Saccharomyces cerevisiae S288C: one gene and its partner. The protein of the gene in region 1 purifies or fractionates together with the protein of each later gene. This does not show direct contact. Each region holds a gene or a part of one and is shown in the gene's direction. Other genes may lie near its edges. The genes, in order: EFT1 and HGH1.

Region 1 (4,906 bases):
AAGAAAGAGAATCCGACTATTATATTTGATTGCTCCACAAATTTGCCAACATTTCGCAAACAACAATACAAGAATGTCAAAAAATCATACGAAGAATTCCACCAATTGTTCAAATATCTGAATGTTGCCATTCAGGAATCTTTTGTTCCTACTCTTCCCTCTGCGTATACTACATTCGGAATTAATAGCGAAGAAGATAGGATGAAAGTAACGCGAAATTTCCAACTTTGGTTTAACAGGCTATCGCAAGACCCCTTAATTATTCGGAATGAAGAAGTGGCCTTTTTCATTGAAAGTGACTTTAATACGTACACACCCATCAACAAGTCCAAATCACTCGCATCTGGGTTGAAAAGAAAAACATTGAAACAATTAGCACCTCCATATGATGAAATCACAGAATTAGCAGAATTCCGGCCATTAGTCAAGTCTATATATGTTGTTTCTCAGAGCTTGCAAGAAAAACTGCTAAGAGTTTCCAGAAATCGCAAGATGATGGTTCAAGAAGAAAATGCCTTCGGCCAGGATTTCGTTAATCTAGATGAGCACAATAAACTTTACAGAAGATACGGTAAAATATTGACTGCTGTGGGTGATATTGATAGCATTATAGCAACCATGGACATGGCGACATTGTACGATGGTTTAGAGTGGATTGTCAGAGATGCTTATGCCGTGAAGGAAGCATTGACCAACAGGCATTTTATCATGCGAAATCTAGTACAGGCACAGCAGAATTCAAAGGCGAAACAGGAACAAGCACGCAGGTTCCGGTCAAGAAGAGATATTAACCCTATGAAAATCGATGAAGCACTACGTCAGTTGAAAGCTGCAGCTAAAAACGAACAAGTTTTGACCCTTAAGCTTCAACGAATCACGTCCAACATGATTATCGAGAGAAAACAGTGGATTAGCTGGTATGAAGAATGGATAAGAAGCTCGATCAAAGAATTTACACTAAGAAAGATAGAGTATGAAAGAAAGAAGCTGACGTTACTAGAACGAGTACGTTCTGATATCAGAAAAGCTGATGAAAACGGAGGTTTGTCACGTCTAGGACGCCATGCTGTCTCAAACAACAACTCCGATACTTCTCAAACCCTTAAAGGGGACAGTTGGACGGGAGAGAGCAACCGCAAAAGTCAAATCCCCATCAACAAGATCGCTCATACCGAATTTGATGATGAACTATTCACTGAAGACGATGGGTACAACTCTCAGGACTCAGACACTACATCACTGAATGCGCGCCATGCTGCTTCACTTTTGGGCATGTCCACTAAATAATACGTATATAAAGTAGAAAATTCATACCTTTGAACAAGGTGATCTTTTTCCTTTAGTTGATATTAATCCCGGGTAAACTTCCGTGTTGCACTTTTAAAATTTTTTTTCAAATCTCACCTAGAAAATTTTTTTTTGCCATGAGCCTTCCTTTAATTAATCTCAATTGCATACTACTGTTGTATTAAACGCTTCACTGGTTTTTTTACTTAACCCCATTTGCCAGAAAGCCAGACCTACGCACCCAAGAATTTTTAATAACAGATAAAAATGGTTGCTTTCACTGTTGACCAAATGCGTTCTTTAATGGACAAAGTTACCAATGTGCGTAACATGTCCGTTATTGCTCACGTCGATCATGGTAAGTCCACTTTGACCGATTCCTTGGTCCAAAGAGCCGGTATTATTTCCGCTGCTAAGGCTGGTGAAGCTCGTTTCACCGATACCAGAAAGGATGAACAAGAAAGAGGTATCACTATCAAGTCTACCGCTATTTCTCTATACTCTGAAATGTCTGACGAAGATGTCAAGGAAATCAAGCAAAAGACCGACGGTAACTCCTTCTTGATCAACTTGATCGACTCTCCAGGTCACGTTGACTTCTCCTCTGAAGTTACTGCCGCTTTACGTGTCACTGACGGTGCTTTGGTTGTCGTCGACACCATTGAAGGTGTCTGTGTCCAAACCGAAACTGTTTTGAGACAAGCTTTGGGTGAAAGAATCAAGCCTGTTGTTGTTATCAACAAGGTCGACAGAGCTTTGTTGGAATTGCAAGTTTCTAAGGAAGATTTATACCAAACCTTTGCCAGAACTGTTGAATCCGTTAACGTCATCGTTTCCACCTACGCCGATGAAGTTTTGGGTGATGTCCAAGTTTACCCAGCCAGAGGTACCGTTGCCTTCGGTTCCGGTTTGCACGGTTGGGCTTTCACTATCCGTCAATTCGCCACCAGATATGCTAAGAAATTCGGTGTCGACAAGGCCAAGATGATGGACAGATTATGGGGTGACTCTTTCTTCAACCCAAAGACCAAGAAGTGGACCAACAAGGACACTGATGCTGAAGGTAAGCCATTGGAAAGAGCTTTCAACATGTTCATCTTGGACCCAATCTTCAGATTATTCACTGCTATCATGAACTTCAAGAAAGACGAAATTCCAGTTTTGCTAGAAAAGTTGGAAATTGTCTTGAAGGGTGACGAAAAGGACTTGGAAGGTAAGGCCTTGTTGAAGGTTGTTATGAGAAAGTTCTTGCCAGCTGCCGATGCCTTATTGGAAATGATTGTCTTGCACTTGCCATCTCCAGTCACTGCTCAAGCCTACAGAGCTGAACAATTATACGAAGGTCCAGCTGACGATGCCAACTGTATTGCTATCAAGAACTGTGATCCAAAGGCTGATTTGATGTTGTACGTCTCCAAGATGGTGCCAACCTCTGATAAGGGTAGATTCTACGCCTTCGGTAGAGTTTTTGCCGGTACTGTTAAGTCCGGTCAAAAGGTCAGAATCCAAGGTCCAAACTACGTTCCAGGTAAGAAGGACGATTTGTTCATCAAGGCCATTCAAAGAGTTGTTTTGATGATGGGTAGATTTGTCGAACCAATCGATGACTGTCCAGCCGGTAACATTATCGGTTTAGTCGGTATCGATCAATTCTTGTTGAAGACTGGTACTTTGACCACCAGTGAAACTGCTCACAACATGAAGGTCATGAAATTCTCTGTCTCTCCAGTTGTGCAAGTCGCTGTCGAAGTCAAGAACGCTAACGACTTACCAAAATTGGTCGAAGGTTTGAAGAGATTGTCCAAGTCTGATCCATGTGTCTTGACCTATATGTCTGAATCCGGTGAACATATCGTTGCTGGTACCGGTGAATTGCATTTGGAAATTTGTTTGCAAGATTTGGAACACGACCACGCTGGTGTTCCATTGAAGATCTCCCCACCAGTTGTCGCTTACAGAGAAACTGTTGAAAGTGAATCTTCTCAAACTGCTTTGTCCAAGTCTCCAAACAAGCATAACAGAATCTACTTGAAGGCTGAACCAATTGACGAAGAAGTCTCTTTGGCTATTGAAAACGGTATCATCAACCCAAGAGATGATTTCAAGGCCAGAGCTAGAATCATGGCTGACGACTACGGTTGGGATGTCACCGATGCCAGAAAGATCTGGTGTTTCGGTCCAGACGGTAACGGTCCAAACTTGGTTATTGACCAAACTAAGGCTGTCCAATACTTGCACGAAATCAAGGATTCCGTTGTTGCTGCTTTCCAATGGGCTACCAAGGAAGGTCCAATTTTCGGTGAAGAAATGAGATCTGTCAGAGTTAACATTTTGGATGTTACTTTACATGCCGATGCTATCCACAGAGGTGGTGGTCAAATCATCCCAACCATGAGAAGAGCTACTTACGCCGGTTTCTTGTTGGCTGATCCAAAGATCCAAGAACCAGTTTTCTTGGTCGAAATTCAATGTCCAGAACAAGCCGTCGGTGGTATCTACTCCGTCTTAAACAAGAAGAGAGGTCAAGTCGTTTCTGAAGAACAAAGACCAGGTACTCCATTGTTTACCGTCAAGGCCTACTTGCCAGTTAACGAATCTTTCGGTTTCACTGGTGAATTGAGACAAGCTACCGGTGGTCAAGCTTTCCCACAAATGGTTTTCGACCATTGGTCCACTTTAGGTTCTGACCCATTGGACCCAACCTCTAAGGCTGGTGAAATTGTTCTTGCTGCTCGTAAGAGACACGGTATGAAGGAAGAAGTTCCAGGCTGGCAAGAATATTACGACAAATTGTAAGAAGTCTAAATGAGAAAAGGTGGTTCTGTAAGAGCAAACCTTACCGCCTTATGATCTTTTTCATTTATTCTCTGCTTTAAAATTTTGTCGTAATAAAAATAGTATGGTAATAGACTTATATATTATTTTCTTACACATTTTTGTCATATAGTTATATTCCGAATGTTTACAATCGAACCCATCATAAAAATGGACCTTTTCGTATTACCGCCCCCTTTGTAGAGGGGGAGGAACGGCAACTTCTTGACTATTACGACGTATCACCACCCCGTTAGATATACTATGGAAAAAACTATTAAAAACCATTATAATTCATTAATGACATCGGTCCTGAGGTAGTATTACGTATAACTTACCTGGCTCTTGGTCATAGCTTTTTATCCGTTTACGAAAAAAGGAGAAGAAGATTGGGCTTCCGCGGCTATTGTTTGGTTTATACCCCGCCGTATGTTGGTGCTTCTATAATTAGAGCGAAATAGGAAATACAAAAAATCCTTGGAGGGGAGGACCAGCCTCATCGGGCTAAAACTCCCTCAAAACCGGAGGGGCAACCAAAGTATATATCTCATTATGGCCGATACTTCTAGAGGCGCACTAACAGAAGCACCTCAGCCCCTGCAGGTGAAAGAAAGAGGTAATTAATTTTCCGGTTACTTACTTTCTCTCGCTATTGGGGAAAGCGTTGGTTCGAGGCGTTGAGGTCGAAGACAATCATTGTTTTCTTCTTATTTAAGTACATCTTTAGAAGAAAATTACACAACTGGAATGAGTAAATCAATACTTGCTTTGTGTTCCCATTGTTAGATACTCTTGTTTTAGCATG
Region 2 (3,802 bases), on another chromosome or scaffold:
AAAAATCAACCGCCTGTCATTATTGAAAACCCACTTAGTAATAATTTAAGAGCGAAGTTTTTATCCGAAATTTCGCCCCCATTATTCCAATATAACACCTTTTATAACTACAACCAAGAATTGAAAATGAGTTCTCTATTGAAAAAAATCCATAGGGTATCCCGCAACGAAAACAAGAACCCAATTGTTGACTTCAAGAAGACGGGTGATTTATATTGTATACGCGGAGAATTAGGCGAAGGAGGTTATGCCACTGTATATCTAGCAGAATCTAGTCAAGGACATCTGCGAGCGTTGAAAGTAGAAAAACCTGCAAGTGTATGGGAATATTACATAATGAGCCAAGTGGAGTTTAGGTTGAGGAAGAGCACAATATTAAAGTCAATAATCAACGCTAGTGCTTTACACTTGTTCCTTGATGAGAGCTACCTTGTTTTAAACTACGCCAGTCAAGGTACGGTCTTGGATTTAATTAATTTACAACGGGAAAAGGCAATTGACGGCAACGGAATAATGGATGAATATTTGTGCATGTTTATCACTGTCGAGCTAATGAAAGTACTTGAAAAGATACATGAAGTGGGAATAATACATGGCGATTTGAAACCAGATAACTGCATGATCAGATTAGAAAAACCAGGCGAACCCCTGGGTGCTCATTATATGCGCAATGGAGAGGATGGCTGGGAAAACAAGGGAATCTATTTAATAGATTTCGGTAGATCATTTGATATGACACTGTTACCACCTGGAACGAAATTCAAATCAAATTGGAAGGCTGATCAGCAAGATTGCTGGGAAATGCGTGCGGGCAAGCCATGGAGTTATGAAGCGGATTATTATGGATTAGCAGGCGTCATACATTCGATGCTTTTTGGAAAATTCATAGAAACAATCCAGCTGCAGAATGGACGATGCAAATTGAAGAACCCATTCAAAAGGTATTGGAAAAAAGAAATATGGGGCGTTATATTTGATTTACTGTTAAATAGCGGTCAAGCTTCCAATCAAGCTTTGCCGATGACTGAAAAGATTGTTGAAATAAGGAATTTGATAGAAAGCCATCTGGAACAGCACGCAGAAAATCACTTAAGAAACGTAATTCTAAGCATTGAAGAGGAGTTATCACATTTTCAATATAAGGGGAAACCGTCAAGGAGATTTTAGTGAATAAATATGCCTTCATCTCCCGCATAGGTGACTTTTTGGTGTCCTGCCAGATTCCATAGCAATGACAACACAACTTCAGGTAGAGCCAATTGTAACATTAATATATAAAAGGTAATATAAAACTAGCAGGTTCTCAGGTTGAGTAAATATATTCTTTTTTAATCTTGACATCTGTCACTTATGGAAAAACAAGTACCAAAAAAATGGCGATAATGTTATGATATTATTTTACTGAAGCTCTTCATACATCGAGTATGTAGCAATTGCTCCACTTGTTACCGCGAAAACTAACAAGAATAAAAAATAGATGTCTTGATTCGCAATTCGCAGTATATTTCATCTAATAGCTGCAGAGCCAATTGGGATGTTACTGGTAGTGCTACCTTTCGATGTGTTCTGTTATCACCCCAGACGATAATTATTATTGTAGATTTTTCCCTATTCTTCCTCGAAGGGCTTTTTCAAATTTTTTTTTTTTTCATTTTTTCATATTGAGCTCTCTCATCTCATCCATCAATTTATGACGCACCTACTCTAATAACGACAAGTTTATTCTTCTTAAAACGGTATCAATTTAATTTAAAAATTAAAAATAGCTCAAAAAAATCAACAAAAAATTGAGTGATGACTTCACAATTGAATGAATTAGTGGAATTTCTGCATTCACCACAACCTGCCGTAAGACAGATTGCCATTGATAATCTAGTTGGATTTAGTGCTGGTCCCACTTCAAAAGTTTTCAAAAATGATAGCTACAGACCCATTAAGGATATAATAAAAATGATCATGGATCCAGAACACGGCACCCGTGTTATTATTCAGCAAGGTGTCACTATATTGGTCAATTTATCTGAAGACAAGTTAGTAAGAAATATTATATTGAGCGATGACAAGAAGTTCTTAAAATTTTTGGTTTGGAAAATTGTCGATTTAACCAATCCAAATGCCGATATAATGTGTATCTTATTAAGCAACTTAGCCAAGGATGACGGCATTCTTGCTGTTCTGAATATCAAAAGGAATTCAAGCGGTGAGGAGGTCGATGATGGTTTGAAGTTAGCAGCTTTAAATAAAGAAGTTTTCAAAAGTTTGAGAGCCATGGATTGTTTAATGGATTGCTTTGTTAAGGGTTATGATAAAAAATTAACAAAATATGCCAGTTTCAATTATTTAGCCTTTTTTTTTGCGGATATCTCGAGGTTTAAATTGGGCAGGATGTATTTTATTGAAGAGCAGGAATACGATGGGGTTGTTCCTATTTCAAAATTGCTAGTATTTACCGAAAAATATGATGCAAAGGTAAGAAGAGAAGGTGTCGCTTCCACAATTAAAAATTCCCTATTTGATTCTGAAACTCATGAAAGGTTACTCAAAGATGAAAAAATAAACTTGTTGCCTTACATCCTGCTACCTATTGCTAGTGCTAAAGATTCTGAAATTGATGAGGAAGATATGTTCAATTTACCAGATGAACTTCAATTATTACCAGAGGACAAGGAAAGAGACCCGATTCCTGCAATTATATGCTGTCATTTAGAAAGTATTCTTTTGCTATGTACAACGCATGCTGGAAGAGAATACTTAAGAGACAAGTCCGTTTATCCACTAGTGAGGGAGCTGCATAAAAACGTTGAGAATGAAGATATTGGTGAATTATGTTACAGAATTGTTAATATGTTAATGAGAGGCGAGCCAGGTGCGGGAGCAGTGGAAGAGATGCCATCAAAGAATGCGGAAGAGGAAGAAGAGGAGGAGAGTGAAGAAGAAGAAGATGACGACGAAGAAGATGAAATTGTCGAAGTGGCCTAGGTCACTTTCAAGGACAGTTCACATAGCATAGAATTGTATAATACAGAAATAACAATATATTAGAGTTTAGTAGAATTCTGAGTCTTTTCTCAAAAAAAAGGCAGAAAAAAAGACTAGATAAAAAAGTATACTTACTGCAACTAAAATGACAGTATAATGTAACTACATAAGATTAAATGGAAAGAAAAAGGAAAGAATGAAAAGAACGAAAACTAAATAACCTATTAAGTACATAACATTATAAACTAACCTACTCTTTCTTTAATTCCATGTGGTCATTGCCAACCTTTCGACACAATTTTTTTACAATGGCAAACATTAGCTTTTTATTCTCTGCGCCAGGATATTTTCTTCTGATGAACTTTCCAAACTCTTTGATATTGACTTTGCCATCACCAATAGCCTCGATGATATCTTTTTCTGTTATTGTAGGCGCTGGAGTTTCTTCCCTTTCTGCCACTGTAGAATTCAAGCCTTCCTCTTGTTTGATTGGCGAAGGCACTGTATTCGATGCATTATTACTACTATCTACAGCTTTTGTCGTCTGTGGATTCCATTCTCCCTCTGGGAAGCTTTTCAGTATTTTCTTATCCCCCTTCAAGATAATGACACAGTTTTTAATACTTTTCACCCTCAAAGTTGGCTCTTTATGCACATGCGCATTTGTAGCTTTCTTTTGCTGTTTCTTTGGAGAAGATCTCTTGGATTTGGATAGAGTGTCCGAATCTTCTTCCTTTTTAACGGGCGATTCATTCTCTTTGTTTTCAATATCGGATTCAGATAAGTATGGGTTGATCTCATTTTCATCCGATGAGTATAGTGC

Evidence for each region.
Region 2: the proteins of EFT1 (region 1) and HGH1 purify together in Saccharomyces cerevisiae (affinity purification with mass spectrometry; 3 studies listed by BioGRID, with this or other methods). This does not show direct contact.

The regions. Positions count from the first base shown.
Region 1 is NC_001147.6:573,544-578,449, forward strand, and holds EFT1 (elongation factor 2), read left to right. Parts: upstream 1-1,554; coding exon 1,555-4,083; downstream 4,084-4,906. Other genes in the region: retromer subunit VPS17, read left to right, coding at 1-1,287. UniProt on the Saccharomyces cerevisiae protein: Catalyzes the GTP-dependent ribosomal translocation step during translation elongation.
Region 2 is NC_001139.9:869,409-873,210, reverse strand, and holds HGH1 (Hgh1p), read left to right. Parts: upstream 1-1,794; coding exon 1,795-2,979; downstream 2,980-3,802. Other genes in the region: protein kinase BUB1, read left to right, coding at 1-1,167; transcription factor IIF subunit TFG1, read right to left, coding at 3,230-3,802.